2 linked regions of the Canis lupus familiaris genome follow. The protein of the gene in region 2 purifies or fractionates together with the protein of the main gene of each other region. This does not show direct contact. Links are inferred from orthologs where the notes say so. Each region holds a gene or a part of one and is shown on either strand. Other genes may lie near its edges.

The links. Proteins that work in one complex are often made in the same cells at the same time.
Region 1: the proteins of CDK16 (region 2) and CCNY purify together in Homo sapiens (affinity purification with mass spectrometry; 3 studies listed by BioGRID and IntAct, counting the BioPlex papers as one, with this or other methods). This does not show direct contact. The link is inferred for Canis lupus familiaris from reciprocal best matches to the Homo sapiens genes CDK16 and CCNY.

What each region holds. Positions count from the first base shown.
Region 1 is NC_049223.1:1,837,955-1,843,879, forward strand, and holds the start of CCNY (cyclin-Y), read right to left. Parts: upstream 3,672-5,925; 5' UTR 3,618-3,671; coding exon 3,464-3,617; intron 1-3,463. UniProt on the Homo sapiens protein: Positive regulatory subunit of the cyclin-dependent kinases CDK14/PFTK1 and CDK16.
Region 2 is NC_049260.1:41,022,168-41,026,362, reverse strand, and holds the end of CDK16 (cyclin-dependent kinase 16), read right to left. Parts: intron 2,001-4,195; coding exon 1,923-2,000; intron 1,838-1,922; coding exon 1,800-1,837; 3' UTR 1,562-1,799; downstream 1-1,561. UniProt on the Homo sapiens protein: Protein kinase that plays a role in vesicle-mediated transport processes and exocytosis. Regulates GH1 release by brain neurons. Phosphorylates NSF, and thereby regulates NSF oligomerization. Required for normal spermatogenesis.

The DNA.
Region 1 (5,925 bases), on a different chromosome or scaffold from region 2:
CAACAATGGGAAGTTTCTATGTGTCAATTACTGACCATATGACTTTGGGCAAGTCATTTCTCCTCTCTCTGCCTCACTTTTTGTCTTAAAGAAAGGACAATATTATCCTAGGGTTATTGTGAATACTAACAAGCAGAGCAGCATCTGGCACAAAGTAAACAATATCTAAGGGCTGCAAGCATTACTACCACTGTCGTTAAGTCTTTTTGTTATTTCTCAATCCCAGAATAATTTTATAAGAAATACCTAGGGAGTTAGTTGATGAGTCCCATATACATTTCCAAAAACATGAATTACCTAACACCACAAAGTACTTTGTACTTTGAGTACAAAGACAGGACAAGTTGCTGGTAGGTGTCATAGAAACCTAACTGCCCTAACTGCCCTGACTCAGTCACTGAAACACTATAGGACAAATATTACCCATTGTGTTTTGAGCAGGGAAAACATAAATTCAAACCTTATGCCTCTGTGATTTTAAGAAACTGACCTATCACAGAAGCCCCATGAACTCCTCTGAATCTTCAATTCTATCTGTCTGAGATGTCTTTAGGAATAAAGATGGTACTTGAGCACTTCAGGTGTTATATACTAGAATAAAGAATGCTTCAGTAGTAGTTTTTAAATGTTTACTAATCATCTATCAATATAATTCAGAAGTTAAAATCTATACCTATATGCTATTTCTATATGCTATTTAACTTAAATCTGTTCTCTTCTCCCAGCTTGATACTGAATGAATTTCTATGGAAAATGTCCCTGAACAACAGACTTATCCAGCCAGGGATTCTCAATCCTACCTATATCTTCGAATTACCTGGAGAGCTTTAAACATACTAACACCAAGGCCCAGTCCTAGATTTCTGGTGTAATTGAAACCAATGTTGAGAAACATATATAGGTAAATCCTATAAGTATTATTTATTGAATTTGGCAGAGAAAATATCGTTTAAATAGTAGATTAGGGGATGCCTGTGTGGCTCAATGGTTGAGCGTCTGCCTTTGGCTCGGGCATGATGGCAGGGTCCTGGGATGGAGTCCCACATTGGGTTCCATGCAGGGAGCCTGCTTCTCCCTCTGCCTATGTCTCTGCCTCTCTCTGTCTCCCATGAATGAATGAGTAGATAAATAAATAAATGTGAATTAGTATTTCGGTTTAAACTAACATCATCAGGGCAGCCCGGGTGGCTCAGCAGTTTAGCGGCGCCTTCAGCCCAGGGCGTGATCCTGGAGACCCGGGATCGAGTTCTGAGTCGAGCTCCCTGCATGGAGCCTGCTTCTCCCTCTGCCTGTGTCTCTGCCTCTCTCTCTCTCTCTCTCTCTCTCTCTCTCTCTCCTCTCTGTGTATTCTCATGAATAAACAAATAAAATCTTTTTTTAAAAATAAATAAATAAACTAACATCATCATATGAACTAAGTTCTGGAGCAAGAGGACAGTACAAGCCTAGATTAGAAATCTTTTTAACATGTGCGAGAGTGTCTTAAACTATCCTGAAATTCCAAAACCAGATTTGGTGGTCCTCTGAAGTTTTCTCAAAACTACTTGAGACCAAATCTTAGATTTCTTTCAAATGAAAGAACACACAATACTATTCTCTTTTTGTCTAGCAAAATCCTTCTAAGACGTAGTGCCAGGGGATCCCTGGGTGGCGCAGCGGTTTGGCGCCTGCCTTTGGCCCAGGGTGCGATCCTGGAGACCCGGGATCGAATCCCACATCGGGCTCCCGGTGCATGGAGCCTGCTTCTCCCTCTGCCTATGTCTCTGCCTCTCTCTCTCTCTCTGTGTGTGACTATCATAAATAAATAAAAATTAAAAAAAAAAATCCTTTAAGACGTAGTGCCAAATACCTGGTTATAATTACTTTTTTTCCTCTCATTTCCTTACTATAGTCAGTAATAGCATGCAGCTTGGCTCTAAGAAATGTACATCTTCCTTTTGTATTTTTTAAATTTGTATTTAAAACATAAAGCTTCCTCCCAATATTAGTGCACAGCATGGAGAAATTATTTCCAAATGTTTTTGCCTGTCAGCGTTGTATAAGACTCGGTAATGGCTTTCTATAATAAACTCCTGTATTCATTCATTCCTTTAAAATATAATACTTATTAAAACCTTTACTATATACCACACATTTCTTTCAACTGCTTGGACCATACCAATAATCAAGACAGTCCAGACTTTAATACCCTTCTAGACGACTTTAAATGCATTAAAGTATAACTGTAGTTCAAAGACATCTAAAGAGTAGGTTAAGATAATGGAAATCTATTATAACTACACCAGAAATATCACACGGAACCCTAATTACTAAGTGCCTACTATAAACCAGATGTTACATTAGTGCCTTTAAGATACAGTACTCCTTTAATAAAGTTGCTGTCCTGCAGAGATGACATAACTCTTTAGAAAAAATTAAGAGGCCAAACAATGAGAAAATTCTTTCCTTTAGCAGAGTTTAAATTTGGTTTTCCAGACTAGAGGGAATTCTCCATCCTAAAGCTGACTTGTAATAGAGTTGTGTCAATTCATTCACACAAGAAATTTTTCATCTTAGTTGAACTACACCAACTGTATGAAGATTTGGGGGTTAAAACAAGAAAATCACGTTGCATGAGAATATACTTCCAAGTTCACATTTTAAGTTGAAAATTATGTAAATTCAAGCATGATGCATAAACTACCTATCCATGATAAGCCAGGTAGCTTAAGGATAAATTAGTACTAAGGAAGATACTGTGGAACCAATAATATAAATACACATTACCAGGTGCAGTGATCAGCCCCTTATCTTCCCTTACAAACACTAGTCCGAACATCACTCAGCTCAATCAGAAATCCATAGGACAGTCATTCTGCGCCAAGCAAAAACCGGGTGACAACCCAAAGCTGTCTCCAAACCATTCTGATAATAATTGAGTTTGCTGTGTGTGTGTTTTAAGTATTCAGGTGACTCTATTTCACTCCAATCCTGCACATACCTCCCCGCCACAAAAAAAAAAAAAAAAAAAAAATTAAGTTTTTAACGGAAATAAGGAGCTGCCCAATGGGGTCAATCTGTAAGTTTCCGGGGGAAGCCGATACACGCCAACCCTGTTCTCCCCACTCTAGGTAGAGACTGATTCCGAAAAGGGATTCACTCATTTCCGCCAAACATCATCCAGTCCTTCCGCCTCCCAAAGGACGAACGAGAAGAACTCGGCGTGCGGGGCCCGCAGGCTCTCGGGCCGCCCCCAGCCCAGCACCGCCGCTCTCGGCTGGAGCGCGGCCAGCTCGCGCCGCCTCTCCACCTGCGCCCCCGCCCCGCGCTACTCCCGAGCCGCCCGCTCGGGGCCTCGGGCCTCGGGGCCTCGGGGTCTCGGGGGCCGGGGGGGCCGGGGGGCCGGGGGGCCCGGGGGCGAAGACCCGGTCCTGCCCTGCGGACTCCGGGGCGCAGGCAGAGGCGCGGCGCTGGCGAGGCTCACCGTCGATGTTCTCCCGGTCGCTGATGTGCTGCAGGTTGCAGCCCGTGTCCTCGCGGCTCAGGTCCGCGTCGGGCCGGTAGGACTCCAGCCGGGAGTGGGCATTCCTGCGGAGCTTGGGGCTGGACGACACGCAGCACGAGGTAGTGTTCCCCATCTTCGGCGGCCCCGGCTCCTGCGGCTCTCGCCTTCCTCCCGGTCCCCCGGCGCGGGGCGCGGGGCGCGGGGCGCGGGGCGCGGGCGGCGGGCGGCGGGCGGCGGGCGCGAGGAGGGGAGGCCCGCCCGCCGCCGCGGGAGGGGGCGGAAGCGGCGGCCGGCCCCCGGGTCAGCAGCGGCGGCGGCGGCGGCGGGTCCTCGCCATGGGCGGCGGCGGCGGCGGCGGCGGCGACGAGCGGGCGGCTCCCGGCTCCCCCCTGCCTCGCTGCGCGCCCGCCCAAGTCCCGCGGGCCTGTCCGCGGCGGAGGAGCGCTCGGGTCCGCGCGACTGCGGCCGCCGAGCCCGGCTCACCCCGCCGCGGCCATGGCGGGCGGCGCCGCGCAGGCCGCCTCACCCCCCGCGCTTCCCGGTCGGCGCCCGGGTCTCCGGCGGCGGCGGCGGCGGCCCACGAACAGCTTCCGGTTCAAGCGAGGGAGACGCGAGTTCGTGAGGGCGGAAGGGCCGGCGGGCGGGCGTCGGTGCGGCCCTCGGGCGGGGCGCGGGGCGCGGGGCGCGGGGAGCCGGGAGCCGGGAGCCGGGGAGCCCCGCGCGGCGAGCGAGGATGCCCGCCCCCGCCCCCGCCCCCTACGGCGCCCGCCCCGCCCGGTCGCCGCCTCTTCCCTCTGCCCTGGAAGCGGATGGGCGGCCGAGGGAGGCGGCGCGCCGAGTACGGAGCAGGGGTCGGGGCCGCCCTCGGGCAGGCGGGCGCGGGGGCCGCAGACCCAGCCGGTGGGAGCTCCGCTCTCGGCGTCTTCCACCTCCCCCGAGCCCTCCCCGGGGACCCGAAGTGCGCGGCGGGCCTGCGCCGCCCTGGGCCCGGCCGGGTCCCCGGGGGCCGCGGATAGGGGGGACGGAGCCGGAGGAGGGGCTGGGGGCGCAGTGGGGGAGGGGAGGGGAGGGGTGCGCCGGGGTGCCGCGGGGGGGCGGGGCGGGGACGGAGCCGGAGGAGGGGCTGGGGGCGCAGTGGGGGAGGGGAGGGGTGCGCCGGGGTGCCGCGGGGGGGGCGGGGCGGGGACGGAGCCGGAGGAGGGGCTGGGGGCGCAGTGGGGGAGGGGAGGGGAGGGGTGCGCCGGGGTGCCGCGGGGGGGGGCGGGGCGAGGACGGAGCCGGAGGAGGGGCTGGGGGCGCAGTGGGGGAGGGGAGGGGTGCGCCGGGGCGCCGCGGGGGGGCGGGGCGAGGGACGGAGCCGGAGGAGGAGCTGGGGGCGCAGTGGGGGAGGGGAGGGGAAGGGGTGCGCCGGGGTGCCGCGGGGGGGCGGGGCGAGGACGGAGCCGGAGGAGGGGCTGGGGGCGCAGTGGGGGAGGGGAGGGGAGGGGTGCGCCGGAGCGCCGCGAGGGGGTGGGGCGGGGGACGGAGCCGGGCGGCGGGCGGCGGGCGGCGGGCCGCGGTAGGGAGGGGCTGGGGCCGCGAAGGCTGTCTCGCACACCGGCGGGAAAGGGGTTGTCTTGTTTGGCCTGTTTTGTTTTAAGCATTTAAAAGGAAACGGGACCCTGATTTGGGATTTCTCGCGTCTACTTTGAGTTCTGACCTTGTTTTAGAGGGTGGGGTAGATCTTGGGGGTTCCCGGGCCACACTCCTGTCGAAGTAGCCGCAGTGGGAAGTTAACGTGCGGACCGGGACCGCTAACGGGCGCTGTCCTGCACTTTCCAGGGCTGCTGAGTGCGTCTTGCGGAGACCAGCGTAGCCTGAGCGTGTGAGCGGAGATCAAGGGACGCGATGGGACGTGCCTGGCCCACGGTTGGCGGGCTCCATGCCCTCCCAGCACCCCACAAAGACCTCCTCAGGGTGCAGAAATAATCTTCCCATTCTTTCCAAATAGTCAGTGAGCAAGTCAGGAGAGACTCAGGGGAAAAAATGGCTGTGAACACAAAAAATACGGTGCAACCCTCTTCATTTATATCTGGGGATACTTGAAGCCCAAAAAGATGAAGCGCCTCGATTTGCCCAGGGTCCCAGTACAAGTCAGTGATAGATGCAAGCACTGAAAGGGAAGAAAAGGATTGCGGAAACTAATACATCATCAGCAACGTGTGGACTTCTTACCTGAGGCTTTATAAACACGTATTTCGTTTAATTCTTGATATCTAGCCCTTTTTACAACCTGTACTCTCTCTGCCATGCAGTCATGTTTATACATTTATCAGCCAATAATCAAAAGAGCCTCATGCTCTCCAGTGGATTAATGCCATTTGTTGCAATAAGTGGCGGATGTCCTTGGAAAATAAATGGCAGCAAAGTACTGATGTTGACAAGATGAGAAAGGGAGTTCC
Region 2 (4,195 bases):
GACACCAATAATCCAAACTTCCAGTTCCATCCATCAGTGGCTCCATTCCTGAATTTGATCCATTATGATTCCCCTACCTACTCAGTGGTCCAAAAATCTATCCTTCCTCTCATACTCTCTCTCCACCTGGCCTGCCTCATGGTGTCCAGTTCTGATGTGTGGTCATACTGGTCCTCCCTGCCTCACCTCTTGGTTTAACGGAGTCTTCCAAGTGTCTCTCACAGTCCCTCTACATACACCTGTCCCCACACTATCTGGCATTCTCATATTCTTGGGTAAATCTCACTCTTCTCCTGGATTCTTAGCTCATCCTCTTTTCAGCCTGCCCTACCTGCTTCAACAAAAATGTTCCACTATTGTGTGTGCAACCCCTCAGATGGCTTTCAGTCATGCCATGTCCCTGGCCCATCTCAGTGCTCTCCTAGATGTCGGGGGCCAGGTATGAATTCTCCAAGGTCCTAGAACTCACCTTGGACTGAGCCCACCCCCACCCCTGCAGGGACTTGCAATCAGGTTTTTCACTTTAGACTTTTTAATATTTCATACAGCGATTATGGTGCATTCAGGAACCCAACCCCCCAAACCCCACTAGGAGGGCCCCCACCCCAGCCCTCCCACCCCATTTGAGGGCCCCAGGTTTAGAGTGGAGGACGGGGAGGTAATCACCCATCTGGGACTGACCCCAGAGACTGTCCCTGCCCTGCCTCACCCTCCCCAGGGGTTAGGGGATAATGCCTGGGCACAGACCCCCATGCACCCCTCTGCCCCTGCTTGTGCACATATACACACTATGGCTCCTTGAAGAGTTGGTCAGTTCCTGGCAGGGCCCCTACTCAACAGCACCGAGTGGGACAGGGGCAGGAGGGTTGGGCTAAGGAGACCCTGAGAAGGAAGGAGGCCCCAGCTGTGGGACTGCAGGAAGGAAAGAGTGGGGGCCCCCCCCACCTCATCCACCTCCCAGAGAGTCTCCCGTAGTCCCCAGGTCCCCCTGCTGCTGGGGATGGCAGGTGGGGGTGGGGTGGGGTAGGAAGGCGAATGGTCGAGGCATGCTTTCCCTTAGCCAACCCCAGGGTCTAGTGATGGTCAGGGTTCCAAATAGGGGCTGTGTCCCTGCCTTGGAAAGGCTGAGAGCGGGGCTTCATTGCACAAAATACTGTGGGAGGGCCACACGCAGGGGGTGGGGCCCAGCCAGTCTGTATACAGAGATATTGCATTTAAAAAATGAAAACCTCATTTAAAATAATTAAAAAACGACAATGAGTGAAACAAACAAACAAAAAAAAAGCCCACACAACATGAGGCAAGTGGGGCAGGCAGGAAAGCAGGCAAGGGAAGCCTCAGACCCAAGGCATTGCCAGATCCTGTCTGAGCCGAGATCCCCAGCCTGGACTAGCTCCGGACCCCTGGCTGGCCGTCGGGTAGCGGTCAGTGGTCCTGGGGGAGGATATGATGGGGAAGAGGGGTAGGCCTGGCCTCAGTGTGGGAGGCTGGCACAACCATGCTGTCCGCCGGCAACTACTGAGACTGAGACAGAGACAGACAGACAGACAGACAAACCAGGCGAAGGAGCGATGAGAGCTTTGTTAGCACCCAGCAGACAGGCCAATGGGTGGGCTGACAGGCCAATGGTCGGGTGTTCGGACAGGCAGCAGGGAACATGTGGGCAGGCGAGCATGAGTCAGGCAGATAGGCAGGCAGCAAGCAAGAAGGATGCAGTTGGGGGCTGCCCTGTGAGGGGAGTGGCATCCCTCCAGCTGCTGCTGCCTGCTGGGGCCTCGGTTTGTGGCTTAGAACTCAGCTTAGAACTCGGTGTCCACCACGCGGAAAGCTGGCCTGCCTGCAGGGGAAAGCAGAGCGGATGGCTGTTGGTAGGTAAGCAAGTAGGTGGCTGGGGCAGGGAAAGAGGGCGAGGCCACACCTACCCGAGTCAGGCATTGACGAAGACCGAAGGCTGGCCTCCTTTTGTAGCTGGATCTCCTTTAGTGCAAATATGGAAGTAGCTGTGGGTAGAAGACAGACCGTGGAAAATGACCCATAGGCCCATCCAGGATCACTGCCCACATGGCCCTATTGGAATTACCAAAAATTGCCTTTTCTTTGAGAGGCATGGCTTTCACCTGTCAAATAATCCTTACACACAAACCAGCTACAACTAGGGAATATGGATTATTACAGGACACTGGGAAATCAGTAATTTTGTCAAGTGTGATAACAGTGTTGCAATTACCATCTGTTGAGTCCAGGTGATGAACACTGGGATTTGATTTAGACTAAACCACTGGGGAGATACAGGAAGTGGGCCAATTTTTTAAAGCTATAATAACGATAGTTATTAAATGTTTGAGATACATGCTAAATTTATAGATGAATGATATATCTGGGATCTGATTCAAAATAATCAGAGGGAATATAGATAAAACTAGATTGGCCACAAGTTGATGAGATGTTAGAGTACTTGGGGACTCACAGTATTTCATCTAATATATAAATAAGTATCATTTATTTTCTAAAATAAGATTTTGAGAGAAAGCAAGCGAGTGAGCAAGAGAAAGAGAAGTGTGGAGAGGGGCAGAGAGGGAAGGAGGGAGGCAGAAGGACAAGCAGATTCCATGCAGAGCATAGAGACTGATGTGGTGCTCACAACCCTGAGATCACGACCTGAGCCAAAACCAAGAGCTGGACGCTTAACCAACTGACCCACCCAAGGGCCTCTATTTAATTTTTTTCAAGTAATCTCTTCACCCAACATGAGACTCAAACTTACAACCCCAAGATCAAGAGTCCTAGCTCCACTGACTGAATCAGCCAAGCACCCCTAAATATATATAATTTTAAAGTGTCCATATTAAGAAGTTTTTTTAAATCAGGCATGAAGGGGCACTTGGGTGGCACAGTCAGTTTAGCATCAGACCCTTGGTTTTGGTTCAGGTCCTGATCTCAGGGTCCTGAAATTGAGCCCCGTGTTGGGCTGTGTGCTCAGCATGGAGACTGTTTAAGATTCTTTCCTTATATTTATGTCCCTCCCCACTGCCTACTCTCTCTTTCTCCCTCTAAAATAAATAAATCTTTAGAGTGCCTGGTGGCTCAGTCAGTTAAGTGTCCAACTCTTGGTTTCGGCTCAGGTCACGATCTCAGGATCCTAGGATCAAGACCCAGTTGGGCTCCATGCTTAGCTGGGAGTTCGTTTGAGGATTTCTCTCCCTCTTCCCCTCCACTTGCTTGCTCACTCTTGTCCTCTCTAAAATAAATAAATAAATCTTTTTTTTTAAATCAAGTATAAAAAGAGAATACCCTGTGTGATTCCATTTCTGTAGAGTACAAGGATGGGGAAAACTTATCTATGCTGTTAGAAATCCAACTAGTGGGGATACCTGGGTGGCTCAGTGGTTGAGCATCTGCCTTTGGCTCAGGTTGTGATCCCGGGGTCCTGGGATCGAGTCCCACATCGGGCTCCTTCCATGAAGCCTGTTTCTCCCTCTGCCTATGTCTCTGCCTCTCTCAGCTTCTCATGAATAAATAAATAAAATCTTAAAAAAAAGTCCAAATAGGGGTAACCCTTAAGAAGAGGCTAGGAATACCTAAAGCAAACAAGAGGGCACTTCAAGGGAGCTTCTCATATCCTTTCATATTTTTTCTCTCCTTTTTTAAAGATTTAATAAATTCATGTGTGAGAATGAGCAAGAGAGCAATGAGGAGAAAGCACAAGCTGAAGGAGGGGCAGAGGGAGAGGGAGGAGCAGACTCCCCATTGAGCAGGGAGCTCAATATGGGACTTGATCCCAGGACCCTGGGATCATGACCTGAGCTGGAGGCAGATCTTAACCAACTGAGCCACTCAGGTACCCTCACATCCTATTTCTTGACCTGTATGCCAGTTACATGGGTGTGTTTAGTTTGTGAAAATTCACTGTGCTGTGTATACTTATGACCTGTGCATTTCTCAATATGTATTTTTTTTAAAGATTTTATTTAGAGAAATAAATTCATGAGAGAAAGAGAAAGAGAGGCAGAGACACAGGCAGAGGGAGAAGCAGGCTCCTTGCAGGGAGCCCAATGTGGGACTTGATCCCAGGACTCCAAGATCACGCCCTGGGCCAAAGGCAGGCGCTAAACTGCTGAGCCACCCAGGGATCCCTCAATATGTATTTTATAAAAAAATATTTACAAAAAAAAGGGAAAGTGATGTTGCATCTATT